4 linked regions of the Anolis sagrei genome follow. The protein of the gene in region 1 interacts with the protein of each later gene in a biochemical or structural test. Links are inferred from orthologs where the notes say so. Each region holds a gene or a part of one and is shown in the gene's direction. Other genes may lie near its edges.

Region 1 (7,513 bases):
GAGGGGTTTTTTTGTATAACGAATAGTTTACTTGTTGCTTCAGAAGATTACTTTTGTGGCACTCTTTTTGAAATATGTATTTTTAAAAGGGTTTGTTAGAAAACAAATTAAAAGTAACACACAACCTGTACTTTTATTCTATACCAACTCCAGAAGGGTTGTAATGCTAGTCATCGCAGTTAGAAGAGTTTATCCTATTGCACAATAAGTCACCCACGCTTTGGAAAAATGGCCTTCAAGGTGAATTGGCTGAACTAAATTCTTTATTTGCAAGTGTTAAATATTTTGGAAATAGGAAACCTTCTTAAACCTCCTGTTTAATAATTTGTCTGTATATAATATGCTGTTTTATTTATTGAAGTGTATATGCATTCTTTGGTATGCAGTTTTCCCTAACTCTATGTTCTTGAGGTTGTGGGAGGGGCTGCAGACCATGTGGCCAGAACAGGGACTGTTTAGATCACAGTTTAAAAGTTGACAGTTGAGGGATGACTGTTGACAATGACAGTTGAAATTAGACAGTTATAGAAGAGAGTTGTATAGAGCTGTATAGTGTTGAAGAGATTGAAAAAGACTGAAAGTTAAAGACAGAAACTGAAATGTTTTAAAGTTTAAACTAACATGAAATGTGTCTGTATATTTAAATGGTCAAAGTTGTGAGTAAGACAAACAAGTTATTTTTAAAGAAGTCTACTTGAATTTTGTCTTCTGAGAGCATGAAATAGAAACAAGATATGTAGGGGAGAATAGATGTGTTTCGACAACACTTCTGAATATCTGAGATATATATATATATATAGAGAGAGAGAGAGAGAGAGTGTGTATTGGCATATTCTCTGTTCCTAATAGTTCAGAGTCACCTGGAAATCAGTCTAAGAGCTGAAAAACAATTGCCAATTATTTTAAGAAAAGAAATGGTTACCATTTCTTTTCTTAAAAGATATAAACATTGAGGCCTTCGGGGGGGGGGGGGGGGCGTCTGGTCCATCCTTCCAGAAACCAATTGCCGACCATCACCTTTTCATCGGACCCAAAGACTGTGAAACAACCTGCAGAAGTGGTCTGACAGCTAGATCAGCTGTTAGAATTTAAGTCACAACTGAAGACCTATCTTTTCTGACAGGTCTACCCAGTTGGTTTTAAACTGTAAATTTTAACCTGACATTTTATTAGTATTGGTATCTTTGTTTTGTTCATTTTAATACATGTATTTTAATAGTACTACATTGTATCTATGTGTTTCAACAATGTTGTTTACCTGCCTAATAGCCATGAGGAGAGGTGGGTACATTTTTACAAAATTATTAAATACAAATCCTTAGTGGCTAGGACAATCCTGCTTACTAGCTCATAACTGCTGAACAAAATACCAGCTTTGCACTTAACATTTCCTGAATTTCAAACAAAGATTAGGACGATATCGTATTATCTCTTGTCAAAAGAAACAACCGTCACCAATCAAAGCTGCTGTTTCTACACAATACAAATTAACACACAACTCTGATCACTATTGCAAAAAGGGAATAGGAAGTATCAGTGTGACGCTTAAAAGAAGCTAAAATCCACAAATGTCAATGTTCTCTACTAAGTCTGACAATTTGGTTTGGACCACTTTAAATCAGGCATGGGAAAATTTTGGCCCTCCTGGTGGGCCAGAGTTTGCCCATACATGATTTAAATCATACTACCACAAATATTGTGTATAAATTCACTTAGGGGCTGTATGTATATTGTAATTATTTTTGTGTTTAGATTCCAAGATATCTACAAAACATTCCAAAACCTAACATGCCTCTGGCAGCCGGACATGTTGTTCAAGAAGAGATATTCAACTGACACACCCAGTGAGTCTAAAATGGGGAAAGGAGCTACAAGGAGCCATGCCCTTCTCCTCACAGGACACATCCACGTCAAGCATTTAATGCAGTTTAAAACCGGTATTGAAAAAATCAGCTTTGCTGTGCAGATTACACAGAAAATCCTGGCAGGATAGGATAATATACAAACCGCAGAATACTGGTGTTCATGGAGAGCTTCCTTTCTAGCACTTTTGTGGAGTAGTTGAGCCCCTTCCACACAGTTGAATAAAATCTCACATTATCTGCTTTGAACTGGAATATATGGCAACGTGGACTCAGATAACCCAGGGCCCTTCCACACAACCATATCACCTAGAATATCAAGGCAGAAAATCCCACAATATCTGCTTTGAACTGAGTTATCTGAGTCCAAACTCAGATGTGGGTTTTTCTGCCTTGATATTCTGGGATATAAGGCTGTGTAGAAGGGCCCTCAGATAACCCAGGGCCCTTCCAACCAGCCAGATAACCCAGTATATTAAGGCGGAAAATCCCACAGTATTTGCTTTGAACTGTGGCCCCACCTACACTAATTTAACTGCTTTGATCTGGATTATATGGCAGTGTAGAATCATATAACCCAGTTCAAAGCAGATAATGTGGATTATCTGTTTTGATAATCTGGATTATGTGGCAGTGTAGAAGAGCCCTGGGTTACCTGAGACCACACTGGGCCCTTCCACACCGTCCTATAGCCCAGAATATCAAGGAAGAAAATCCCACAGTATCTGCTTAGAACCGGGTTATCTGAGTCCACACTCAGGTAATGTGGGATTTCCTGCCCTGATATTCTGGGATATAGGGCTGAGTTGAAGCGCCCATTGCCATATATTCCAGTTCAAAGCAGATAATACAGGCTTTTATTCAGCTGTGTGGAAGGGGTCTCCAGTTCAGAGCACATATTTGTTGTTGTTCATTCGTCTCCGACTCTTCGTGACCTCATGGACCAGCCCACACCAGAGCTCCCTGTCGGCCGTCACCACCCCCAGCTCCTTCAAGGTCAGTCCAGTCACTTCAAGGATGCCATCCATCCATCTTGCCCTTTGTCGGCCCCTCTTTCTTTTGCCTTCCACTTTCCCCAGCATCATTGTCTTCTCTAGGCTTTGCTGTCTCCTCATGATGTGGCCAAAGTACTTCAACTTTGTCTCTATATAGTGGGACTGTAATAATAATAAATAATAATTTGATAATCTGGATTATGTGGCAGTGTAGAAGGGCCCTGGGTTACCTGAGTCCACGCTGCCACATATTCCAGTTCAGAGCAGATATTGTGGGATTCAGTTCTTGTGGGTTTTTTCGGGCTATATGGACATGTTCTAGAGGCATTTCTCCTGACGTTTCGCCTGCATCTATGGCAAGCTTCCTCAGAGGTGAGGTCTGCTGGAGCTGGGAAAAAAGGGGTTTATATATCTGTGGAATGACCAGGGTGAGACAAAGGGCTTTTGTAAGTTGGGCTAGGTGTGAATCTTTCAACTGACCACCTTGATTAGCATACAATGGGCTGGTCAGTTGAAAGATTCACACCTAGCCCAACTTACAAAAGCCCTTTGTCTCACCCTGGTCATTCCACAGATATATAAACCCCTTTTTTCCCAGCTCCAGCAGACCTCACCTCTGAGGAAGCTTGCCATAGACGCAGGCGAAACGTCAGGAGAAATGCCTCTAGAACATGGCCATATAGCCCGAAAAAACCCACAAGAACTGAGTGATTCCGGCCATGAAAGCCTTCGACAATATATTGTGGGATTGTCTGCTTTGATATTCTAGGCTATATATCTGTTTGGCAGGGCCCTTGGTTGCTTGGCCGCCGCAGTCTGAACCTCGCCTCGAACCGCATTAAATGGCCAGTGTAGATGGGCCCAGAACCGCTCCCTTACCGAGGACCAACCGGGCGACGTCTGACGGCAGCAACATGGCGAGGAGGAAGGGGAAAAGGAAGCCCCCCTCCTCCTCAAACGGGGGCGGAAACAACCAACACTTTCCCTTTTCCCGGCTCCTTCTGGGCCCGGCAATCGAGAAAAAGGCGCCCAAAATAGTCTTCAGTTACTTCAGCTTCCCCCTCCTCCTCCTCCGCCCAATGACTTCCGGGAGCAGAAACGACAACAATCAGGATTCCGCTTCCGGTGTGGGCGGAGCCAGGAGGGAAACGCGGGAAAGAAGGAGAGGCCACGCCCCCTTCGCTCCCCTTCTGACGCCCCTCCCAGGCGGAAGGCTGCGCGCGCACCTCACGTCGAATGTGGAGCCGGGAAAAGAAGCCTCAGGTCAGTCAGAAGGAATGCAACCTGGCCTCACTTTCTTCACTGCCAGGCATGGGCCAACTTGGGCCTTCCAGGTGATTTGGACTCCAACTCCCACCATTGCCTAGCCTTTGAGCCATGGCAGTGAATGAAATGGGGCGTCCCAACTGCATTAAGGCTGTGGGATCCTGGGATTTATAGTTTGGTGAGGCCTTGCAAGCAGAGGCCTTGCAAATCTTTATTTTGTATACCCTGTCACCATCTCCCCAAAAGGGACTCATGGCAGCTTATTTGCTGGGCCAAACACAGAGACAACAACAAAGTTTACCAACTGAAACATAATTAAAAACATAGTAACATATCACCACTACGATTCCTATTGATGATATGGCACCCAGGCATAGCAATTCTGCATCAATTCTACAATGTTTTCCTCCTCCATCTCTTCCTCCTCCGCCTATCCATCCTCATGCTTGTTGTTCTGGAACAGCTGTTCCAGGAGCTCCAATTTTATTTGCTTTGAATTAAATGTTGGTTTGCAATCCCAGGCTTGGGATTTTGCAGCAGGGTGGCTTCCTGTTACGTTTGCAATCATAGGGCAAGCCACTAGTCTATTATAGTTACGATCCCTGGTCCTGCCCCTCTCTGGGTTTTTTGGAGGGAAGGGGCCATCTTTCAGTTAGTCTCAGCAAAGGAAGTCAATGCAGAGGGTGTATACAGACATCCTCCTGTGCAAAGGCTTCGTCCCTTAAGACTTTCTGGGGGAGAACAGTCTTGAGAGCCTCTGAAGATTCCCAAAGGTTCCAGGGAAACAGCCTTACAGCCCTGAAGAATTCCGGGGGGAATAACAGCTCTAACCATCAAAGCAGCTAAGTGACTACAGGCCTGTTGCTACGTCTGCTAGGTTCTGAGACGCAGTTCAGCCGGTAGTATATTCAAATAAGTCAGGTTTAGGTTCACAGCAGCCTGGGAGGAGCTAGAAAGGGGAATTTTCCTTTGAACAAGGTTTTTGAAGATAGTGCCTGTTCCCTGTGAACAAGATTGCAAGAGCTAAGAGACTGTTTAGAAAACTTTACAATTCCTGTTTGTTCATCAATAAAAGACTGTTATATTTAAGCTCAAGCCTCATAAAGACTGTTTAATAAGGGAAATTTACCAAAGGCTTCTTTTCGGGGCCCCTGGCTTCCCGCTGGATCCAAGCCATACATCCTCTCTTAAAGGCACTTCATTTCAGGTCCAGTGGCGACAGAACACTTGTCATATTGGCCCTCACTTGCTTGACTTCTAATAATAGAAATAATAGTAATAATAATAATAATAACAACAACAAGAACTATTTACCGTATATACTCGAGTATAAGGCGACCCGAATATAAGCTGAGGCACCTGACTTTACCACAAAAACTGAGGTATAAGCTGAGGATGGGAAATGCAGGAGCTATGGGTCAGTTTCAAAATGAAAATAGATACTAATAAAATCACATTAATTGAAGCATCAGTAAGTTGAATGTTTATTAATATTTACATAAAACTGTAAGATAAGACTGTCCAACTCTGATTTAAAAATTATTCTAACCTTCTTCAATGTACACGTGTTTACGTATCCTTCCAATAATAATAGAGTAAAATAATAAATGTAATAATAATAAAAATAATAAAGTTGACCTATAAGTGTAATAATAATAATAAAGTAATATAATAAATAAATAATAATAAAGTAAAATAATAAATAACTTTGACTCGAGTATAAATTCAGGGGAGCTTTTTCAGCCTAAACAAAGGACTGAAAAACTAGTCTTATACTCGAGTATATACAGTATATCCTGCCCTATCTCCCCAAGAGGACTCAGGGTGGATTACAACAGATATCGGCAAACATTAAATGCCGTGAGAAACTGAACAAAGACAAAAATAACCACCCCCCCATCCCAAAAACAAATCTGCATCAAAAGTAATAACATTACTAGTAATATTATGTGCATTATATTTTATTTATTTTGTATCAAAAGCATTGCATAAATTAATAAAAAAGTGATAAAAATAGAAGGAGTGTAGGCGGCTAAATACCTTTTGACCAAAAATGGGCAACAGCAATGGCAATGTCTGTAGCCTCCAACAATTCTTCCTTTGTACATGAGGCAGGGCATAGTGGACAAGCATACAGATGCGGAGTTGTCTGTTCTGCTTCACAGCCACACAAGGTGTGGGATTCTTTTAGGTAGTGCCATTTTGCCAGGTTGTCTTTTGATCTGCCTACTCCACTTCTGAGTCTGTTCAGGGACTTCCAAGTTGCCCATTCTTAGTTTACCCCTGGAGAAAGACACTCGTGGGGGGCCATCCAGTTGGGATTTCCTGGTTTAGCTGTTCCTGGGGGGACGCCAAGAGGAGTGGTAGTTCGCATAAAGCTTTTCCTTGATTTGAGTCTACTGGGAGGAGGCTGGTAGCCATGTAGTGGGTGGCTTTCACAGTGTTCAACCTTATTTCTCTCACATTTAGCAGCAACTTCCCGTCGCACATGGGGGTGGGGGTGGGCAATACCAGCTAGCTTGTAAAGTTTATCCACAGGTGTAGGTTTAAGACATCCTGTGATTATTCTGCATGTTTTGTTCAATGCTATGTTCACCTGCTTTGCATGGGCAGACTTATGACACGGAAAGAGACTCCTCGAAGACTGAGTAAATACAGTTGGGCATCCCCCAGGCAACATTTCTTGTAAATGGCTAATCTTTTCAAACCCAAAAGCATTGCTTTTAAACATTTGAATGTCTTATATAATATACAATTATCATATTATACAATGCATCCTATTACAATTCAGTCTGAGCCCTGCCACATGCACAATGGAGGACCTCCTTATAGGAACACCAGAGGGACTCCCAAGTGTCCAGGACATTTCATATAATGTCAAATTTTTAAATTTTGTGTTTTTTAAAATACATCACAACTGTGCGCTTGCTTCGCTCCTGATACGATAAATAAATCATATTATATTATTATATTGTACTATATTATTACACCACAATGTATGTGATACACTACCAGTACATTATACTGTTAGTATTATAGAATATATTGTACCATATCATAAGTTGTAGTATACACAATATACAATATATTACAACATTATTAGTATTACACCAGCACCATTACATTGCAGTGTTATTATTTCTATATAGTAATATAAAATAATAATAATAATAATAATAATAATAATAAAAACAACAAATTTTGAGCAAGCGTTTGGCTAATCAGCGCAATTGAACACAGAATGACGGTAAACTGAACATAGGAACGGCATAAGGATATGAGACTGGATCTTGTTTGTGATCGAGGCATTGGTATGAATGTTGTGTGTTTGCTACTGTGTATGCTGTGTTTTAATTGTTATTGTTGTGGTAATTAATATTGTGTAAACCG
Region 2 (8,137 bases), on another chromosome or scaffold:
TCCTTTAGGAAAACTGGAACTCCCAAGGACCAAAACACTGTACATAACTCAAAATGAGTTTAATTGTTCACAAAGAGTTATCCCTTTAAGGCAACAAGCTGGAAGTTTCAAAGGGGTAAAGGAAAATATACATTACAGTCTCTGGTTTTCTTGGGTCCAAGGACTTTTGCAGCTGAGAAGCTTTTCCGGGTCCCTCTTTCTCAATGGCTGTGAATATCGGAATAATCACAACTCCAATTCCAATGGCCTATATTTTGAAGGCACAAAGCCTTCCTCTGGTGCCAAAGAACTTGTTTGAAGGCACTCGAGACTTCTCAATGTCGTCCAGGTTGATCTGAACATAAAGCATAAGTCTGAAGGGTAAGAACCTCAGAATTGGTGCTGAGAGGTAACTTAATCAAGGGCTTCAGAGCCAAGTCTCTCTCTCACGTCCATCTGATAGAAAGTTTGGTGGTGGAATGGAAAAGGAAACACTGTCCCGCTCTCTAGGAAGAGGTGGGATCGAACAATTGAGCAGGAGGAGCAATTCAACTGGTGCAAACAACGTTGATTGACAGCTATAAATAACCAATCAATCCAACTATATATTGTAGAAGGCTTTCATGGCCAGAATAACTGGGTTGTTGTATGTTTTTTCGGGCTATATGACCATGGTCTAGAGGCATTCTCTCCTGACGTTTCGCCTGCATCTATGGTAAGCATCCTCAGAGGTAGTGAGGTCTGTTGGAACTATATATCTGTGGAATGACCAGGGTGAGACAAAGGACTCTTGTCTGCTGGAGCTAGGTGTGAATGTTTCAACTGACCACCTTGATTAGCATATAATGGCCTGACATTGCCTAGAGCAAACTTTTGTTGAGAGGTGATTAGATGTCCTTGTTAGTTTCCCTCTCTGTTGTTGTGCTGTTGTAATTTTTGAGTTTTTTTAATACTGGTAGCCAGATTTTGTTCATTTTCATGGTCTCCTCCTTTCTGTTGAAATTGTTCACATGCTTGTGTATTTCAATGGCTTCTCTGTGTGGTCTGATATGGTGGTTGTGAGAGTGGTCCAGCATTTCTGTGTTCTCAAATAATACGCTGTGTCCAGGTTGGTTCCTCAGGTGCTCTGCTATGGCTGATTTCTCTGGTTGAAGTAGTCTGCAGTGCCTTTCATGTTCCTTGATTCGTGTTTGGGCAACACTGCATTTGGTGGTCCCTATGTAGACTTGTCCACAGCTGCATGGTACACGGTAGACTCCTGCAGAGGTGAGGGGATCCCTCTTGTACTTTGCTGAACGAAGCAGTTGTTGGATTTTCTTGGTGGGTCTGTAGATAGTTTATAGGTTGTGTTTTCCCTTAATGTATGGCAAGAACACTTTTCCTCTGGGTAGCCATGAGAATAAAGATGAAGATCCGCCCAGTTTTCCTAGTTCCAACAGACCTCACTACCTCTGAGGATGCTTGCCATAGATGCAGGTGAAACATCAGGAGATAATGCCTCTAGACCAGTGTTTCTCAACCTAGGGGTCAGGACCCCCAGGGTGGTCGCAAGGGGGTGTCAGAGGGGTCACCAAAGACCATCAGAAAACAGTATTTTCTGTTGGTCATGGGAGTTCTGTGTGAGAAGTTTGGACTAATTCTATTGTTGGTGGGGTCCAGAATGCACTTTGATTGTAGATGAACAATAAATCCCATATGTCAAGGTCTATTTTCCCCCAAACTCCACTAGTGTTTACATTTGGGCATATTGAATATTCATGCAAAGTTAGGTCCAGATCCATCATTGTTTGAGTCCACAGTGCTCTCTGGATGCAAGTGAACTACAAATCCAAAACTCAAGGTCAATGCCCACCAAATCCTTCCAGTATTTTCCGTTGGTCATGGGAGTTCTGTGTGCCAAGTTTGGTTCAATTCCATCATTGGTGGAGTTCAGAATGCTATTTGATTGTAGGTTAACTATAAATCCCTGCAACTACAACTCCCAAATGACAAAATCAACCCCTCCAACCCCGCCAGTAGTCTAATTTGGGCGTATCGGGTATTTGTGCCAAGTTTAGTCCAGTGAATGAAAATACATCCTGGAGATCAGATATTTACATTACGATTCATAACAATAGCAAAATTACAATTATGAAGTAGCAACGAAAATAATTTGATGGTTGGGGGTCACCACAACATGAGGAACTGTAATAAGGGATCGCAACATTAGGAAGGTTGTGAACCACTGCTCTAGACCATAGCCATATAGCCCATAAAAACCTACAACAACACAATCCAACTATACATTTACAGGGTAAAAAGGCAAAATCGGGCTTGATACAACAGTTCAAATCCTGCAACTTACAGTTCTACATATAGGTGGTGCCACTCACACCGTCACACAGAGGTACAACACCTTTGTTCAGATGATTCATTGGAACTTGTGCCACAAACACCATCTGCCTGCCACAAAGGTCTGGTGGGATCACAGCCGCAAAAAGTTATGGAAAATGAACACGTCAAGTTACTCTGAGACTTCTGAATTCAGACAGACATAGTTTTGGAGCTCAACACTCCTGACCTCACGTTCATGGAAAAAAACAAAGTATAGATCATAGATGTTGCAATCTCAGGCGAAAGCAGGATTGCAGAGAAACAACTGGAAAAGCTGACACGATATGAGGATTTAAAGATAGAACTGCAAAGACTCTGGCACAAACCAGTCAAGGTGGTCCCAGTGGTGATCGGCACACTGGGTGCAGTGCCTAAAGACCTTGGCCTGCACTTAAACACAATCGGTTCTGACAAAATTACCATCTGCCAGCTGCAGAAGGCCACCTTTCTCTGATCTGTATGCATTATTGGCCGCTACATCACATAGTCCTAGACACTTGGAAAGTGTCCAAAATGTGATCCAATACAAAAGCCAACATAGTGATCTTGTTTGCCATGTGCCAATCTTGTTGTGTGTCAAATAGTAAAAATACCTTTTATTTATTACCCACCCCTTATTATAGTTCGAGGCAGGGTACAACAAAGTCAAAAACATGAACATAAAATAAGTATACAATGAATTACACAGATAAAAACACAAAAATATAAAACACTTGCACAAAACACAGATACAGAATTGACATATAATAGTAGTAGAGGGTAAATCAAAACTCATGATAAATTGACTCTTCTGCCAGAAGAGATGGGTCTTCCATTCTGACAGCTCTTTTAGGTCCTTTCTACACTGCCATATAATCCAGACTATCAAAGCAGACAATCCACATTATCTGCTTTGAACTGGATTATATGAGTCTACACTGTCATATAATCCAGTTCAAAGCAGATAATCTGGATTTTATATGGCGGTGTAGAAGGGGGCTCAGTGTATACTGTCATATAATCCAGTTCAAAGCAGATAATCTGGATTTTATATGGCGGTGTAGAAGGGGGCTCAGTGTATACTGTCATATAATCCAGTTCAAAGCAGATAATCTGGATTTTATATGACGGCGTAGAAGGAGGCCCACTCTACACTGTCATATAACCCAGTTCAAATCAGATAATCTGGATTTTGCATGCCAGTGTAGAAGGGAGCTCAGTCTACACAGTCATTTAATCCAGTTCAAATCCGATAATCTGGATTTTATATGTTGGTGTAAAAGGGGCCTCAGTCTACACTGCCATATAATGCAGTTCAAATCGGATAATACGGATTTTATGTGCTGGTGTAAAAAGGGCCTCAGTCTACACTGCCATATAGTCCAGTTCAAATCCGATAATCCGGATTTTATATGTTGGTGTAAAAAGGGCCTCAGTCTACATTGTCATATAATCCAGTTCAAAGTAGATAGTATGGATTTTATATGGTGGCGTAAAAGGGGCCTCAGTCTACACTGCCATATAATCCAGTTCAAATTAGATAATCCGGATTTTATATGTTGGTGTAAAGGGGGCCTCAGTCTACACTTCCATATAATCCAGCTCAAAGTAGATAATCTGGATTTTGTATGACGGTGTAGAAGGGGGCTCATTCTACAATGTCATATAATCCAGTTCAAAGCAGATAATCCGGATTTTATATGGCATTGCAGAAGAGGCCTCTGCCTGTACTGCTATATAATCCAGTTCAAATCAGATAATCCGGATTTTATATGTTGATGTAAAAGGGACCTCAGTCTACACTGCCATATAATCCAGTTCAAATCAGATAATCCGGATTTTATATGTTGATGTAAAAGGGGCCTCAGTCTACACTTCCATATAATCCAGCTCAAAGCAGATAATCTGAATTTTGTATGGCGGTGTAGAAAGAGGCTCTGTCTACACTGTCATATAATCCAGTTCAAAGCAGATAATCTGGATTGTATATGGTGGTGTAGAAGGAGGCTGAGTCTACATATAATCCGCTTCAAAGCAGATAATCTGGATTTTATATGGCGTTGCAGAAGAGGCCTCTGTCTATACAGAGGCTCCTTCTTTGGAAGCTTTTAAACAGGGGCTGGATGGCCATCTGTCAGGGGTGATTTGAATGCAATACTCCTGCTTCTTGGCAGAATGGGGTTGGACTGGATGGCCCATGAATGAGGTCTCTTTCAACTCTTTGATTCTATGATTCTATGATTCTATACTATCATATAATCCAGTTCTAAACAGAGAATCCGGATTTTATATGTTAGTGTAGAAGGAGCCTTAGTATCCCACAAAACTGTACATTTCCATAGAAGTTAATATGGTGGCAAAGGAATAGAGCAAAGCCACTTTTTGACTTTGGGACTTCAACTCCCAGAAGTCTCCGCTGACTGGGACAATGGAAGGGAATCCTGGGAATTGAAGTCCAGAAAAAAACATTCAGGGCTAAAACGGAGGCGGGGCTGTGAGAGCGGAGGGGCGTGTCCTGGCAGACGGGGGGCGGGGCTTCGACGGGGGGCGTCCCGGGAAGAGAGCGCGCCCGCCAGTGGAGTTTCCCCGCCGGAGAAGACACACGCAGGCAGTCAGTCCGCCATGAGCTCCGCAGCCACCTATTTCCGCTCTCCGCCGGCCTTGATCCCGGCCAAGAGGCTCCACTTGCCCGAAGGAGTGACCCTGCCCCCTGGAGACTACAGCACCACCCCCGGGGGGACCCTCTTCGGCACCACGCCCGGAGGTGAGCCGCGACACCTGGACGCTGCCTTTCTCGTGTTGACATCCCTGCAGTTGCTTCCTTAGCCCTTGGATGTGACTTTAAGACACGGGAATACTTAGCTCTGTTTTAGAATTGCAGTCTGAGTGTCTCTGAGCATGGGCAGAGTGCTGGCTGGTGCTTGTGGGCTGAGTGCCTCTCAGTGTGTGCAGAGTGGAGTCTTAATGTTGACGTTTGAGAGCTGAGTGTCAACATTATTAATGTTGACACTCAGCATCTTAAGGTTGATGCTTGAGTGCCGAGTGCCTCTGAGTGTGTGCAGAGTGCAGAGTGGCATCTTAATGTTGATACTCGTGTGCTGAGTGCCTCTGAGCATGTTCAGAGCTCTGGCAGACATCTTAATGTTGATGCTTGAGAGCTGAGTGCCTCTGAGCATGTGCAGAGTGCAAGGTGGCGTTTTAATGTTTATCCTTGTGGGCTGAGTGCCTCTGAGCATGTGCAGAGTGGCATCTTAATGTTGATACTCGTAGGCTGAGTATGTGTAGAGTGCTGGGTGGTGTCTTAACGTTGATACTTGTGCGCTGAGTGCCTCTGAGCATGTGCAGAGCGCAGTGTGGCGTCTTAATGTTAATACTTGTGGGCTCAGTGCCTCTGAGCATGTGCAGAGTGCTGGGTGGTGTCTTAATGTTGATGCTTGTGGGCTGAGTGCCTCTGAGCATGTGCAGAGTTTTGTCTTAATGTTGATACTCGTGGGCTGAGTGCCTCTGAGCATGTGCAGAGCGCAGCGTGGCGTCTTAATGTTGATACTTATGGGCCGAGTGCCTCTGAGCATGTGCAGAGTGGTGTCTTAATGTTGATGCTTGTGGGCTGAGCGCCTCTGAGCATGTGCAGAGTGATGGCTGATGTCTTAATGTTGATGCTTGGGTGCTGAGTGCCTCTGAGAGTGTGCAGAGTGCTGGGTGGCATCTTAATGTTGATGCTTGAGAGCTGAGTGCCTCTGAGTATGTGCAGAGTGCTTGTGGGCTGAGTGCCTCTGAGCATGTGCAGAGTGGTGTCATAATGTTAAAATTTGTGAGCTGAGTGCCTCTGAGCATGTGCAAAGTGCAGGGTGGTGTCTTAATGTTTCTACTTGTGGGCTGAGTGCTTCAGAGCATTCAGCCCACAAGCACTGTTGCTTGAAGCCAGCCTTGAACCGCATTCCATGGTGAGTGCAGACCTGGTTCTTCTGTGTTTCTCTCCTCTCCTGCCTGGGGAGTGTTTTGCAGAGAGGGCCCTTCCCAGCCTGGCAGGTTCAATGCTGGATCAGCGCTCATGGACCAGAGCCTGCATCAGATGCCCGCTGTGTTATTTTCCAGTTGGCAGGCACATGGGTGGGATGGACACAGGCGGAAAGAATGTCACCGCTTGCACCCCAATGGAGCGCAGCACGGAATGCAATGTTAATGCTTATTTATCCCACTGGAGAACAGGCCATGGGTGCAACTACGCTGCAGAATTAATTCAATTCCATCCCACTTTAATTACTCAAGGCGATGAAGTCCTGGGATTTGCAGTTTGTGAAGGACGCACCAGCATTCATTTATTGGCGCAATGAGTTAAATCCTTGTGCCAACAGGACTGAAGACTGACAGGTCAGAGGTTCGAATCTGCGGAGAGCGCAGACAAGCTCCGTCTGTCAGCTCCAGCTCCCCGTGTGGGGACATGAGAGAAGCCTCCCACAAAGATGGTAAAACATCAAAACATCCGGGCATCCCCTGGGCAACGTCCTTGCAGACGGGCAATTCTCTCACACCAGAAGCGACTTGCAGTTTCTCAACCCTAAGCATATTTAAGTGGAAGATCTGATGCAATTCCAGAGTAAAAGTTGTCGATTGCATAAGACTTAGCAAGGGATGGGAAACCGTCACAGTTTATTTCATTGGACTGATAGTTATCAGCCTTGCGTGCAAACTTGTCCTATGTCTTGTCAAATGCCGGAATCACTAGGTCACTGTGACTTTCTCAGGCTGTATGGCCATGTTCCAGCAGCATTCTCTCCTGACGTTTCGCCCACGTCTATGGCAGACATCCTCAAAGGTTGTGAGGTCTTGTCGAAGGCTTTAATGGCTTGATTCACTGGGTTGTTGTAGGTTTTTCGGGCTATATGGCCAAGTTCTAGAAGCATTCTCTCCTGATGTTTCACCTGCATCACTACCTCTGAGGATGCCTACTGTAGATGTGGGTGAAATGTCAGGAGAGAATGCTTCTAGAACATGGCCATATAGCCCGAAAAACCTACAAAAACCCAGTTGTGAGGTCCATTGGAAGCTAGACAAGTGGGGTTTCTGTGGAATGTCCAGGGTGGGAAAAAGAACTCTTGTCTGTTTGTTGCAGTTGACCGGTTTGGTTAGCATTGAATGGCCTTGCAGCTTCAAAGCCTGGATGCTTCCTGCCGGGGGAATCCTTTGTTGGGAGGTGATTAGTTGGACCTGATTGAGAGCCATTGCAACATACCTGAGTGCCTCTGACCACGTGCAGAGTGCTGAATGACGTCTTAATTACAGAATGATTCATAGGTTGCCTTGGGGTCCACATCTCCGCTGTAGAATTAATGCAGTTTTACATCACTTTAATAACCATAGCTAGATGTATTGTTGAAGGCTTTCATGTCTGGAATCACTGGGTTGTTGTGTTTACTGGGCTGTAAGGCCATATTCCAGAAGCATTCTCTCCTGACGTTTCGCCTGCATCTATGGCAGGCATCCTCAGAAGCATTCTCTCCTGACGTCTCGCCTGCATCTATGGCAGGCATCCTCAGAAGCATTCTCTGCTGACATTTCGCCTGCATCTATGGCAGGCATCCTCAGAAGCAGTCTCTCCTGATATTTCGCCTGCATCTATGGCAGGCATCCTCAGAAGCATTGTCTCCTGACATTTCGCCTGCATCTATGGCAGGCATCCTCAGAAGCATTGTCTCCTGACATTTCGCCTACATCTATGGCAGGCATCCTCAGAAGCATGTTTTCCTGACTTTTCGCCTACATCTATGGCAGGCATCCTCAGAAGCATTCTCTCCTGACGTTTTGC
Region 3 (7,652 bases), on another chromosome or scaffold:
TAACATATTCCAACAAAGGATTCCCCAGGCAGGAAGCAGCCAGGCTTTGAAGCTGCAAGGCCATTCAATGCTAATCAAGCCGGCCGATTGCAACATTCACACTTGCCTCAAACAGTCAAGAGTTCTTTCTCCCACCCTGGACATTCCACAAATATATAAACCTCACTTGCCTAGTTTCCAACAGACCTCACAACCTCTGAGGATGTCTGCCATAGATGTGGGTGAAACATCAGGAGAGAATACTTCTGGAACATGGCCATATAGCCCGGAAAACTCACAGCAACCCAATGATTCTGGCCATGAAATCCTTCAACAACACATCAAAGCAACTATTAATCAAATCATCTAGCAAACAGCCCACCCACATTAGAGTATTATGGCAGTTTGACACCACTTTAAGTGCCATGGGATCCTGGAATTTGCAGTTTGTTGTGGTCATTCTAGTCTCCAAAGAGTAAATTTTCTTGTATTTGCCATTGCTCACTGCAAGAGGTGTGCTCACACACTATGTTCAATATAGGAACAATCAGTGTGGACATAGACTACTGAACTGTGCACTGGTAGAATATCTCTTAGGTAGCATTTAACGTCTTTATGTGGGTGGCTGATATGTGCCCTGGTAGTTATTCAGAGTGTCAGCTGTAGATTGTTCCCTATTGAGGATTTAAGAACAGTTGTATATACACATACTGACTGGGAACAAGGACTTCTGAATTTGTATATTGCCAGCACGAACATATGTGCAATATAAACTCTTATTATTATGGTGTGCCTTTAGGTCATTTCTGACTTATAATGACCCTAAAGTAAGCTACCTCAGGGTTTTATGGGGCTGAGAGTATGCGACTTAGATAAAGTCACCCTGTGGATTTCCATGGCTGAATGCGGATTAGAATCCTGGTATCCAAAATCATAATCCAACGTCCAAAGGATTACATCAGGTTTAAAGTCAACACATTGCATTGCCTGTTACTTTTCTGATACTTTTCATTACTTTGAATAAATAAATATTTCAAAATAATGATATAAACATTTAAAAAATCATATGTAATGCTTCTAACATTGCTCATTCACTAATGGAGCAACTTTGTTTCCATTGTTTGTGCTACTTACCATATGTAGCTTTGCGACAGGAAACGGTGTTACTCATAATGTGTTAACCTTCAACCCACAAGTCTTCCCCTGCTACAAGCCTCCTCAGCCACCTCTCTTCGCTGTTGAGAGTTAGAGTTTAATCAGTGGAATTAGTGAAGTTTGATACCACCTTAACTGCCATGGTTTAGTGCTATGGTATCCTAGTAGTTGTAGTTCCCTCTTGTCCTTTGCTGAATGTAGCATTTGTTGGATTTTCTTAGTGGATCTGTAGATTGTGTTTCTTCATCAGCTTCACTATGTGGTCAGTGGTTCCCTTGATGTATGGCAAGAACACTTTTCCTCTGAGTGGATCTTTGTCTTGACTCTCATGGCTTGTTCTTGGTCTTTCAGCACTTCTGATGTCTAAGGTGGAGTATCCATTGGCCTGTAGAGCCCAGTTTAGGTGGTTTGGTTCACCTTGGTGGAGGTGGGCTTCGCAGATTCTTTTTGCATGGTCTGTCAAGGCTTTAATGGTGCTTCTTTTTTTACTTGGGTGATGGTTGGAGCTTTTATGCAGGTATCTATCTCTGTGTGTAGGTCTTCTGTAAACTGTGTGGACCAATTGTTGGTTGGGCTTTCAGATGACTAGGACATCTAGAAATGGCAGTTTTCCTTCTTTTTATTTTTCCATGGTGAATTGGATGTTGGGGTGGATGCTGCTGAGGTGGTCCAGGAACTTATTTCTTTATTTGTTTGTTTAGAGTATTTACTATATTCCACCCTTCTCACCCCGCAGGGGACTCAATGTGGATTACAATGCACATATACATGGCAAACATTCAAAGCCAATTAATATGCAACATATAAACAGACAAAGAGGCAATTTTAACATTCCACCTTCCCGGCTTCATATCTGCTTTGAACTGGATTATCTGAGGTCACACTGCCATATAACCAGTTCAAAGCAGATAATATGGGATTTTATACAGCTGTATGGAAGGGGTCTGATTCATGCAATTATGGTACATGGTGAATGGTAGGAAAACCCACCTGCAGTGATCAGCTGTGATTTTTATTTTATTTTCATGTGAAAAATGGTTTCACCTGGTAATGCCCACTCCTGTCCTTAAAAACCCATTAAATGCAATTATAATTGTACTGTATTTTAATTTTATGTCCAGGACACAAATATAATAATAATAATAATAATAATAATAATATATTTATTTACAGCTTTTATATTCCACCCTTCTCATCCCACAGGGGACTCAAGGTAGATTACAGTGTACACATATATGGCAAACATTCAATGCCAATTTTGATGTGCAGACATATACAGACTTACACAGAGGCTATTTAACCTTTTCTGGCCACCAGGGGAGCTGTCGCTTTCATCGTCCATCTGCGATGCTGATGAAGTACCTCTGCATTCCTTGCATGCTTCCCCACTGGAGTGCTTCTTTATGGCCTCATAAATTAGTTAATTTTAGCCTCCCCACACTTTTAAGGTGGTACCTTATTTTCCTACTTGAAAGATGCAACTGTCTTTCGGGTTGCAAAGGTTGACAACGGGCTACACAATGGTTGGAAACCCACTCCAATCTGGGCTGGCTTCGAACTCATGACCTTTTGGTCAGAGTGATCTTAATGCAGCTGACACTCAGCCAGCTGCGCCACAATCCCAACAACAACAATTTATTTATTTATTTATTTCGAGGTTTTATATACCGACCCTCTCACCTTCAAAGAGGGATTCGGACCGGTTCACAACATGTGTTAACATACAAAAAATATACAACAACAACAACAAAAACAACAACATGGATGTGGCTAACAAATTGAACTTTGAAAAGGAAACTGGGGGCCTGATTCTTGCAGCCCAAATGCCATTAAAGCCAGAACTGAAAAGTCGATGACAGATCCCAAGTGTACACTCTGCAAGAAGATTGTGCAGATGGACTACAAGCAGAGGCATAACATCTTGCTCAGATGATCCACTGGAACTCGTGCCACAAATACCATCTGCCTGCGACAACGAACTGGTGGGATCACAAGCCTGAAAATGTTACAGAAAACGAACATGTCAGACTACTCTGACACTTTCAAATTCAGAGTTTTGGAGCACAATAGTCCTGACCTCATGATCGTGAAAGTATGGATCATCGATGTTGCAATCCCAGGTGACAGCAGAATTGACAAGAAGCAACTGGAAAATCTGACACAATATGAAGATTTAAGATAGAACTGCAAAGACTCTGCCACAAGCCAGTAAAGTTGGTCCCAGTGGTGATCGACACACTGGGTACGGTGCCTAAAGACCTTGGCTTGCACTTAAAAACAATCAGCACTGACAAAATTACCATCTGCCAACTGCAAAAGGCTACCCTACTTGGATCTGCACGCATTATTCACCAATACATCAGACAGTCCTAGACACTTGGGAAGTGTCCAACGTGTGATCCAATACAACAGCCAGCAGTGATCTTGTTTGCTGTGTACTAATCTTGTTGTGTTTCAAATAAATAATAATAATTTTGTATTTGCTTTGTTTTATATTGTTATTGGGTCATAGAATCCTAGAATCCTAGAGTTGGAAGAGACCTCATGGGCCATCCAGTCCAACCCCCTGCCAAGAAGCAGGAATATTGCATTCAAATCACCCCTGACAGATGGCCATCCAGCCTCTGTTTAAAAGGTCGTGTAAGTTGCCTTGATTCCCTATGCAGAGAAAGGTGGGGATAGAAATTAAGTTAATAATAATAATTAACGGGCCAGGAAAAATATTGATTGCGGTGCATCCACACTGTAGACTTAACACAGTTTGATACCAGTTTAACTTCCTTGGGGAATTTCTATGGAATCTGGCAAGTTGTGGTTTTAGCAGGCCTTTAGCCTTCTCTGCCAAAGTGGACTGGTACTTACCCAAACTACAAAGCCCAGGACAGTTAAAGCGGTATCAAACTGTGTTAAGTCTACAGTGTGGATGCACCGCAATTAATATTTTTCTTACAGTGCAGATGCAATGATGTAGAGATAAGAAACATTGTTTTAAAATTAAGAAAAAAATAACCGAGGAGTGGTTGTGCCCGTGTATACAAAACCCGCGGATACGGAGGGCCGTCTACCCGCGGATACGGAGGACAGGCTATTGCATTGACTCTCCATGTATTGCATTGACTGTATACTTCCACCCTCTCGCTCGGAGGCCAAACAAAATGGCCGCCGCCGTGAAGTCAAAGCCGGAAACCCTATGTCTGAAGCAACTCTATGCTACTGGGCTTACGCTCTAGGCTGGACATTTCCTGTCTCTGTGATTTTCCGTCGCTTATATTGGATCGGAAAAGAGCGAGGCCGGGCCGTTTACTCCCCGCCAACCATTGAAATAAATCAACCAATCGTCGGACGGGAAGCGTTTAAAGTGGCAGCCTCGGTATCCAATAAGAAAAGGGTCCTGCGCAAAAGAAGGCGGGGCGCACGAAAATTGGATGCCGGAGTGCTATTTGGGGGAGCGGAGACCCCTTTCAATAGGTTCAAATGGGAAAGAAAAAGGCGGGAGTTAGATTTAAAGGGACAGGCACCTAAAAATAAGAAAGACTTAGGTGCATAGGTGTGTGTGGGCTAGCCATTAGGATATAATTGGAAGCAGGATATCAAGGCTATCAAAGGAATAATGCAAGGAGATGGATACAGATGAGGTTTGGAAAGGCAAAGGGAAGGAGTAACATTGTACCTACATATATATAGCTATATAGTTATTGCAAAATGGAGCAAACTCAGTTGTTGGACTGGGACGAGGAAGGGGATCCCAATGAGGCTTCTCATGGGAATACCCCCAAACCTGTTGGGCGCCTGCACCTTTTGAGCAGCAAATATGGCCCTGAAAAAGGTAAGGATGTCTACAATTAATGCCTTTATATTTATTAACATTGTGTATGTATATTTTATTTATATGCCACCTTTCTCCCAAAGTGGGATGCAAAGGTGACTTGCAAATACATTAAATTGCAAGGTTTCCAACACATTTTATTATATGCATTTATATTATTGTATTTATATGCTCCCTTTCCCCCAAAGTGGGATGCAAAGGTGGCATGCAAATACATTACATTGAAAGGTTTATACCACATTTTATTATATGTATTGATATTATTTTATTTATATGCCAGTTTTCTCCCAAAGCGGGGCACAAGAATGGGAAAACGTTATTTGCCGACTTTCTCTCAAAGTGCAATGCAAAGGTGGCTTGCTAATACATTACATTGAAAGGTTTCCAACACGTTTTATTATATGCATTTATATTATTGTATTTATATGCCAGCTTTCCCCCAAAGTGGAATGCAAAAGTGACTTGAAAATACACGAAATAGAAAGGCTTCCAACACATTTTATTATATGCGTTGATATTATTGTATTTATATGCCACCTTTTCCCCAAAGTGAGATACAAAGGTGGCAAGCAAATACATTACATTGAAAGGTTTATACCACATTTTATTATATGTATTGATATTACTGTATTTATATGCTACCTTTTCCCCAAAGAGAGATACAAAGGTGGCTTGCAAATACACTAAATTGAAAGGTTTCCAACACATTTTATTATATGTATTGATATTATTGTATTTATATGCCACCTTTCCCCCAAAGTGGAATGCAAAAGTGACTTGAAAATACATTAAATTGAAAGATTTCCGACACATTTTATTGTATGCATTTATATTATTATATTTATATGCCACCTTTTCTCCAAAGTGAGATACAAAGGTGGCTTGCAAATACATTACATCAAAAGGTTTCCAACACATTTTATTATATGCATTGATATAATTGTATTTATATGCCACCTTTTCCCCAAAGTGGCATGCAAAGGTGGCTTAAAAATACATTACATTGCAAGGTTCCCAACACATTTTATTATATGTGTTGATATTATTGTATTTATCTGTCAGCTTTCCCCCAAAGTGGGATGCAAAAGTGGCTTGCAAATACATTAAATTGCAATGTTTCCAACACATTTTATTATATGCATTGATATTATTGTATTTATATGCCAGCTTTCTCCCAAAGTGGGACACAAGAATGGGAAAACGTTAAATTAGGTGGCTTGCAAATACATTAAACTGAAAGGTTTCTAACACATTTTATTGTATGTATTGATATTGTTGTGTTTATATGCCAGTTTTCAACCAGAGTGGGATGCAAAGGTGGCTTGCAAATACATTAAACTGAAAGGTTTCCAACACATTTTATTATATGTATTAATATTATTGTATTTATATGCCAGTTTTCTCCCAAAGTGGGGCACAAGAATGGGAAAACGTTATTTGCCGACTTTCTCCCAAAGTGCAATGCAAAAGTGACTTGCAAATACATTAAATTGAAAGGTTTCAAACACATTTTATTATATGTATTGATATTATTGTATTTATATCCCACCTTCTCCCAGAGTGCGATGCAAAGGTGGCTTGCAAATACATTACATTGAAAGGTTTCCAACACATTTTATTATATGTAGTGATATTATTGTATTTATATGCTACCTTTTCCCCAAAGAGAGATACAAAGGTGGCTTGCAAATACACTAAATTGAAAGGTTTCCAACACATTTTATTATACGTATTGATAATATTGTATTTATATGCCAGTTTTCTCCCAAAGTGGGACACAAGAATAGGAAAACATTAAATTAGAGTGGGGCGCAAGGCAGCTTGCAAATACATTAAATTAAAAGGTTGTTGTTGTTGTTATTAACAACTGTATTTATACTCTGCCTTTCCCGCTGTAGGGACTCAAGGCAGTTAACAAACCCACACTTTTAAAAGCTCATTACAAAAGTTACAAAACAATTAAATCGTACAGTGTGGTAGAGACATATTAAAACATTACCAATACACTTAAAATAGTCTTTACAACTAAATTGTATTTATTGATATTGTTTCATTTAGATGCCACTCTTTCACCCAAGGTGGCTTGCAAAAACATGATTCCACGGCATTGGGCCATTGGAGTTAAAGTGGTGTCAAACTGCATTAATTCTATAGTGTAGATGCACCCTAAGAATGGGGCTATGCCAGGCATGGGTAAACTTGGGCCCTCCAGGTGTTTTGGACTTCAATTCCCACAGTTCCTAACTGTTATGATTTGAGGGAGTTTTATTTTGAACACTTATACCCCATCCATTCTCGACCTCCAGGGAGAGACTCAGGACGGCTACCTACAGGCAACAATTCGATTCCGAGACAATATAAACACATAATAAATACCTAAATATAAATATAAATATACATTAAAACAGTTGATGTCCAAAACACCTAGAGGGCCAAAGTTTGCTCATGCATGGGTTATGCTGCTTGTTTACAAAAGCCCTTCAGAAGTTTGCATAGAGAGCAAAACTGAAATCCTGTTGGATTAATTAATTAGTTTATTTTATTTACATATTTATACTCTGCTTTTCTCACCCCTGGGGAGACTCTAAGCGGTTTTAATCCCAAATAGAGGATTCTCATTGAATCTGTTGATGTACAGTGTATTATCATGTAGATCAGGCATGGGCAAACTTTGGTTTACTAGGTGTCTTGG
Region 4 (7,765 bases), on another chromosome or scaffold:
CCAGTGGGCCAATTGACACGAAATTTGGACAGCATACACCTAACAACCCAATGTATGTCCTTCACTCAAAATTTTTTGATTTTGTCATTTGGGAGTTGTAGTTGCTGGTATTTATAGTTCACCTACAATCAAAGAGCATTCTGAACTCTACCAGTTATGGCATTGATCCAATCATGGCATACAGGACTCCCATGACCAACAGAAAACACTAGAAGGTTTTGGTGGGCATTGACCTTGAGTTTGGGAGTTGTACTTCACCTACATCCAGAGAGCACTGTGGACTCAAACAATGATGGATCTGGACCAAACTTGGCACAAATATTCCATATGCCCAAATATGAACACCGATGGAGTTTGGGGAAAATACACATTGACATTTGGGATTTGTAGTTACTGGGATTTATAGTTCATCTGCAATCAAAGAGCATTCTGAATCCCACAAACAACAGAACTGGGGCAAATTTCCCACACAGAATCCCCATGAGCAACAGAAAATACTTAAGACCATCCAGTCCAACTCTCTTCACCAGGACAAGAAAATGTAATCAGAGCCCTCCTGACAAAGAGCCATCCAGTCATAAATATAGATAGATATGATTCACACACACAGATATAGTACAGATACAGATATAGTATCATAGATTTCAAAGGGACCCCTAAAGAAGGACTATGATATATTGCATATTCAAGAGTAGTCAAACCAGACAATCTCCACATCAACACTGACAAAGAAACAACAAGAAATACTGTTTACCCAAAAGCACTTACATACATTACAAAATTACATACATTAGAAACCAATGCTTTCTCATTACTTTATTTTCCACATCACCAGACTGGGCCACAGCAACGCGTGGCAGGGGACGGCTAGTCTATATAAATAAAAATATAATGTTCGTTTATGGGATTAACATAACTCAAAAACCACTGGACAAATTGCCACCAAATTTGGCCACAAGACACCTACTAACGCAAGGAATGATCATCACTCTAAAATTGTCATATAAAATCCAGGTTATCCATTTTGAACTTGATTATATGGTAGTGTAGACTCACATAATCCAGTTCTGTGGATTATCTGCTTTGATAATCTGGATTATATGGCAGTGTAGAAGTACCTGAAGCTTTCTCTCCAATTCTTGCTTCCACAACAAGCCACATTTTTCAAAATCCAATTATCACAGAGACAGAAAGTGAGGGGCAATCTTTTGAACAGGGGCACAGACAGCAAAACAAACACCCTTCCCTATGCTATCCAAAGCAAATGGACTGGAGTTTCATTTTAAAAAATGTACCTGTTCTGACTTACATACAAATTCAACTTAAGAACAAACCTACAGAATTTATCTTGTCCGTAACTCAAGGACTGTATGTATACTAATCTATTTTAATGTTTACTATACTAAATGCTTGTAGTTGTCCAGAGTCTCAAGCAAAATACTTTTAAAGTCACACCACAGAGATGGGCCACCTGAAACCATCCATAAACATTTAGTGATTTTTCACATGCATCTTATATGTCTAGTGCTTGAAAATAACTGAGTGCATTATATTTTAAAATAAATGTTGTTCATGAAATAGCACATTATCAATTGGAGCATTTTGAATTTCAGAATTCCAATTAAAGGGTAATCAGCCTTATATTATGGCCCCTTCTACACTGCCATATAAAATCCAGATTATCTGCTTTGAACTGGATTACATGGCAGTGTAGACTCATCATTATATAATATATATATATGAGGGTTGAATGAAAAGTAATGCCTCCACCTTTGTTACTTGGGTTTGGATGGGAATATTTTAATAAATCAAATGCAGAAATAATCCTTAGAATGTGCTCTTTAGCTACCACTATTCACTTTTCCACATAATCACCAGACCATTGGATACATTTCTGCCAACAATGAACAATTTTTCTGAAGCCATCATGGAAGAAGTCGACACTTTGTTTCCGAGACCCATCCTGCACAGATCTTCCGATAGCCAAGCAAAGCAATAATGTGACCCACACGTTCTTGTGAAATGCCGATTATGCTTGAGATTTCTCTCTGAGTGATACGACGATTGTCCTTAATCAATCTGTCAACCTTTTGCTTGCTGTCACAGGACGTCCAACTCTTTGTTTGTCACGCAAGTCAGATGTTCCCACCTCAAAATCTTTAAACTCACTCGCCCAATGATGCACAGTACTCACATCAACACAACCACCATAAACAGCTTGCATTCTCTGATTAATCTCCTTTGGGGTGACACCTTCTGCTGTCAAGAATTCAATGACTGCACGTTGCTTAAGTCGCATTGACCGACCATCTGCACAGGGTTCCATACTTTGCACTTTAACAACACAACCATTCAATGCTAAGGCTTCCCGCCAAAATGGAACTGTAGAGGAGAGTCTACTGAACAAGCCAGTACCTGCCGCATACCAGTACTGCCATCTGTTGAAGAGTTTCGAAGGTGGAGGCATTACTTTTAATTCAACCCTCGTATTTCTCCCTACTCCTAGATGGAATCTAGAGCTTCAGACATTATAAGCACCACATAAGTAGTATCTGCAAAAATATACCCTTATTCCTTGGAGGGAGGATTTCCTTCAAAGCATCTATTTGTTTCTCAAAAACTAATTTACATGGCTCATAATCCTCTGTGTTAAAAGAAACATATTTTGGTACCTAATCAAACAATCCAGTTCAGATCAGATAATCTGGATTATATGGCAGCGTAAAAGGGGCCTCAGTGACTATCCACAATGTGATGAGTCACTTTAACTGCCATGGCTCCATTCTATTGAATCCTGGGATTCGTTTCTTGTTGTGGCACCAGAGCCCTCTGACCCCTTCCACACAGCTGTATGAAATCCACATTGAACTGGATTATATGGCCGTGTGAACTCAGATAATCCAGTTCAAAGCAGATACTGTAGATTATCTGCCCTGATATTCTTGATTATATGACTGTGTGGAAGGGAAGGGGAAGTATCTCACAAAACTACAAATCCCAGAATCCCATAGCATTTATTTATTTATTTATTCACGACATTTATACGCCGCCCTTCTCACCCCGAAGGGGACTCAGAGCGGCTTACAAGCAAAAAATAAATACATTATATTATATTATTACCATAGCACAATATTAATATTACTAGCCGTCCCCTGCCAAGTGTTGCTGTGGCCCACATGAGGGTTCTGTGTGGGAGGTTTGGCCCAATTCTATCGTTGGTGGGGTTCAGAATGCTCTTTGACTGTAGGTGAACTATAAATACCAGCAACTACAACTCCCAAATGTTAAGATTCTATTTTCCCTAATTGGGCATATTGAGTATTCATGTAAAGTTTATTTATTTATTTAAAAGTTTTCTATACCGATCTTCTCATCTCCAAGAGGGACTCAGATCCGGTTCACAACATGTGTTCGTATACAAAAATACAAACCACACAATGTATTATCATTACACAATTAAAAACATATTACAATACAACACCGTCATCATCACACTTACACAGCCACATCGTCAAAACATTCCTGGTCATAATTCACAAAGTTTGGTCCAGATCCATCACTGTTTGAGTTCACAGTGATCTCTGGATGTAGGTGAATTACAACTCCAAAACCAAAGGACACTGCCCACCAAACCCTTCCAGTATTTTCTGTTGGTCATGGGAGTTCTGTGTGCCAAGTTTGGTTCAATTCCATCATTGGTGGGGTTCAGAAAGCTCTTTGAGTGTAGGTGAACTATAAATCCCAGCAACTACAACTCCCAAATGACAAAATCATGTTTTTGAGTGAGGGACATACATTGGGTTGTTAGGTGTCTTGTGTCCAAATTTTGTGTCAATTCATCCAGTGGGTTTTGAGTTCTGTTAATCCCACAAACAAACATTACATTATATATATATAACATTGTACTATAACATTATACTGTAATATTAGTAATATTACATTTAATATAAAATATATAATTATCATATTATTAGTAGTATTATATTGTATTACATTATAATATTATCATTATTATATGTATATACAATATATTATATTATTGAGCCATGGCAGTTAATAAGATGCTATAATTCCGCCTCTGGACTGAGACTCCCAGCATCTCTCAACAGGCCAGGGCTGCTGGGCTTTGTAGTGCCATAAAGTGTAGGCAACCTGATCAGAGGCCCCTTCCTCTGCACGACCCGACTCGCCTGATGCTCACCTTTCCTAGACGGCGCTTGCTTTCTGGTTGCTGTGACAACGAGCCACTTTAAATGATGTCATCTTTGGAAAGGGCTCATTGGCTGCGCTCGAACCTATCAGCACAGTGAGAAGTTCGGAGTAGGCGGAGCTTGCCGCAGGAAGGAGGTCCCCTGCTGAGCTGAGGCGGAAAAGGGGAGGAGCTCCGAATGCAAATTTTACGCGGCAGCGGCATCCTATCAGCGACCGCGATGTCGTAAGAGGCGGAGCCTAAAGTGAGCCGTAATCAACTCTCGCGAGGTTTCAAGACTCCCGCCCTTCTCGTGGACGGCGGCCGAGAGTAGTAATCAAGAGGGGCCTACGGGGCCTTGTGTCCCCCACCGCGCCCCGTAGTTTTGCTTTGCGTCCACCTTTTCTATCTCCCCCCCGTTTCCCCAACCCGCGGAATGGGGTTCCTCAAGCTGATCGAGATCGAGAATTTCAAATCGTACAAAGGGCGGCAAATCATCGGGCCCTTCCAGAGCTTCACGGCCATCATCGGGCCCAATGGATCCGGTAAGGCGGGCCTCCCCGGGATCTAAGGACACAACACCGAATCGCATGGCATTTCAGGGAAGGGTAGAGTAGGGAGCATGTCCAGATAACCCAGGGTCCTACCACATCCATTTGAAATCCAGATTATCTTATTTGAACTGGATTATAGGGCAGTGTGGACTTGTATAATCCAGTTCAAAGCAGATAATATGGATTTTAAACAGCTGTGTAGAAGGGGCCTAAGAGTCAAATGCTCAGTCACACTACTCAGTACCTGTAGACTGAGGGTCCTTCCAGGCAGGCCCTTTATTCCAGGCTTTCTGTTTATCCCAGATTATCTGGCAGTGCAGATGATATTGAGCCTGAATTTGGGAGAGTCTCCCCGGTAGAAGAGACTCCTAGGACTGCACCAAAGAGAGTCCCTTGTCCTTGGCGAGCCGTCAGAAGAAGCCTGATTCCAGCAATTTTATTGATATTAATAATTGAAATGAGACTCTTGCCAAGGTGAAGAAGTGGCACCGAGGTTTATTAGCGATTCAGCTGAAGCGGATGCAATTGCAGTGATCATTCACATGCAAGCATACCAATACATTGATCAGAGGCATATTTATAGCAAAATACAGATTTGAAAGTTTCAAAACTCCCTCCCTCTTCGGCTCCTTAGCAAATCAGGGAGAGGGAGGCAGGACGGAAGAGGGGCATTGTGTCCAGAGAGGATGATGACATTCCACTGTCCTTTGCCCGAGGGATCAGCCAGCCAAGGAAACCAGTTTTTTTGTTCTTGTGATGGATCAGTGATTAGGGATAATCATTTGATTCAGGTTTTCCCCTTCCAGGATCAGATAAGGTGTGTTGGTTTTGATAGGTTTTTGGATGAAACAAACAGAGCAGGGCAAGAAGACCCCTGGGGCCAGTCTCGCCCCTTTGTGATTAAATTAAAATGTGATCAGAGAAATTCCCTGTTTACCAGGCCAACTCAGAAAAAAATAAACAAAGAATTTCCAGTTGCTATTGTACATGCAAATGTCTGTGATAAGGTTGGTTTCGAGGGAACAACAGCCCCCTCAGGCACTGAGTGGTTTTTCCTGGTCGCCTTTTTTTGGGCAAGGGTAAAGGGGGCAAAAGGTATTTCATAGCAAGATACATACATTCAAATCATAAGCATTTCATAGCAACAAAACCCCATCTTTGTCCCACATCCCAAATATATTTAATAAGAGGATTAATTTTCATGAAGAAGCCTGAAGTCCAATGTTTTAAAAGGTCTTTGAGGAAAGTTCATGAGGGAGATAGTATGTACTGAAGTCCAAGACATGCAGGCAGAGAGTCCATGATCATTGGGAAGGCTAGCAGATGAAACCCCAGCTGTGCTGCAACTGATTCACACTTTGGTCCTTGGGAAACTACGACTCTCACGAAGGGCAGAAGTCCCAAGATCCAGCCGTTTCCCAAAAGCCTCGTGGGGTCCTTGTTGTTGTCAGTGCCTTGGCAATGTGACCAAGACTTAACCCCTTACTGTGCAGTCTGGTGCGCTTGCCCTTTGCAGGGCTACAAGTCACCATCCCCCATTCTGGGGGGGGGGGGGGTGCTCGGCTTCACAGACTCGTATAATTCAGTTCAAAGCAGAAAACGTGGGATCCGATCCTGGAAGGGACCTGAGTCTACCCTGCCATATAATCCAATTCAAAGCAGATAATCTGGATTTTATTTGGCAGTATAGAAGGGGCCTTCGTCTTCTTCTGATTTCTTGACTGCAGCGCGTTCTGTTTAATGAGTGAGGCAAAGTATAGAACTATTTCAGTGTTTTTTTAATTTTTAATTTATTTATTTTATTAATCGAATTTATATACCACCACTCCCTGAAGGCTCGGAGCGGTTTACAACATACATATGCAATACATTACATTATTATTATTATTATTATTATTATTATTATTAATTTTATTTGTACCTCACTAGCATCTCCCGAAGGACTCGATGTGGCTTACACAGGCAAAGGCCTCAATAAAAACATAGCATAACAAAATACACAACTTAAAACAAATCAAAGCAATTAAAGCAATATCAAACAACAAAACAATAAAACAATATACCAAAACACAAGAAAACAGGGCCGGGCCAATGTAATGGGTACAGGTTAAAATGAGTACAGGCTGATGTGGCAGGTGGTATATCAGATTTTAGGGTAAGTGCAGTGTGCGGGCAATCTTAAACTCTAATAAAGTGCTTCTGGGACATGTTACTGGAGTTTTCCTATTCTGGAAAGGCACATCGGAACAGCCAGGTCTTCAAGTTCTTCCTAAAGACTACCAAGGTAGGGGCCTGTCTGATATCTTTAGGGAGGGAGTTCCAGAGTCAGGGGGCTACCACAGAAAAGGCCCTGTCTCGCGTCCCCACCAGACATGCCTGCGACGCAGGTGGGATCGTGAGCAGGGCCTCTCCGGATGAACGAAGAGAACGTGTAGGTTCATAAACAGAGATGCGGTCACGTAGGTAGGATGGTCCCAAACCATTTAGGGCTGTGTAGGTAAGCACCTGCACCTTAAATTGGGCTTGGAAAATAAACAGCAGCCAATGGAGCTCCTTGAACATTTAAAAACAAAGAAAATAATTCAATCAATCAGTTTGTCTAACTTTAAAGTTATGAAGGTTATCTGTGGTCATTATTTTTGTTTTCTTATGTTCAACTGTAAACTAACATTTGCATTTGCTTCCTTTACCTTCTTCAGTAATAATTCGGAGTCTTTATTATTCGTTGCTAAAATCTTGAGACTAAGAAACTGTGACAATGAAAACATCAACATAATATTGATAACATGGTTTCAATTTGTTCTGTCTTTGCTGTATCTAACCAGGGAAATCAAACCTCATGGATGCTATCAGCTTTGTGCTTGGTGAGAAGACCAGTAATTTGAGAGTGAAGACCTTAAGGGACTTGATCCATGGGGCTCCTGTGGGAAAGCCAGCTGCCAACCGGGCATTTGTCAGCATGGTCTATTCTGAAGAAAATGTTGAAGATCGCACCTTTGCAAGGGTCATTGTTGGTAAGCTT

The links.
Region 2: of the proteins of ATM (region 1) and EIF4EBP1, one has a biochemical effect on the other in vitro, tested with the Homo sapiens proteins (2 studies listed by BioGRID, with this or other methods). The link is inferred for Anolis sagrei from reciprocal best matches to the Homo sapiens genes ATM and EIF4EBP1.
Region 3: the proteins of ATM (region 1) and MDC1 form a complex in vitro, tested with the Homo sapiens proteins (2 studies listed by BioGRID, with this or other methods). The link is inferred for Anolis sagrei from reciprocal best matches to the Homo sapiens genes ATM and MDC1.
Region 4: the proteins of ATM (region 1) and SMC1A form a complex in vitro, tested with the Homo sapiens proteins (2 studies listed by BioGRID and IntAct, with this or other methods). The link is inferred for Anolis sagrei from reciprocal best matches to the Homo sapiens genes ATM and SMC1A.

What each region holds. Positions count from the first base shown.
Region 1 is NC_090023.1:26,265,517-26,273,029, forward strand, and holds the start of ATM (serine-protein kinase ATM), read left to right. Parts: upstream 1-4,031; 5' UTR 4,032-4,120; intron 4,121-4,167; exon of another isoform or gene 4,168-4,191; intron 4,192-7,513. Other genes in the region: protein NPAT, read right to left, coding at 3,737-3,773.
Region 2 is NC_090027.1:10,772,942-10,781,078, reverse strand, and holds the start of EIF4EBP1 (eukaryotic translation initiation factor 4E-binding protein 1), read left to right. Parts: upstream 1-4,896; 5' UTR 4,897-4,953; coding exon 4,954-5,095; intron 5,096-8,137. UniProt on the Homo sapiens protein: Repressor of translation initiation that regulates EIF4E activity by preventing its assembly into the eIF4F complex: hypophosphorylated form competes with EIF4G1/EIF4G3 and strongly binds to EIF4E, leading to repress translation.
Region 3 is NC_090022.1:21,662,696-21,670,347, forward strand, and holds the start of MDC1 (mediator of DNA damage checkpoint protein 1), read left to right. Parts: upstream 1-4,509; 5' UTR 4,510-4,836; coding exon 4,837-4,960; intron 4,961-7,652. UniProt on the Homo sapiens protein: Histone reader protein required for checkpoint-mediated cell cycle arrest in response to DNA damage within both the S phase and G2/M phases of the cell cycle.
Region 4 is NC_090022.1:175,069,643-175,077,407, reverse strand, and holds the start of SMC1A (structural maintenance of chromosomes protein 1A), read left to right. Parts: upstream 1-4,471; 5' UTR 4,472-4,625; coding exon 4,626-4,734; intron 4,735-7,568; coding exon 7,569-7,757; intron 7,758-7,765. UniProt on the Homo sapiens protein: Involved in chromosome cohesion during cell cycle and in DNA repair. Central component of cohesin complex. The cohesin complex is required for the cohesion of sister chromatids after DNA replication.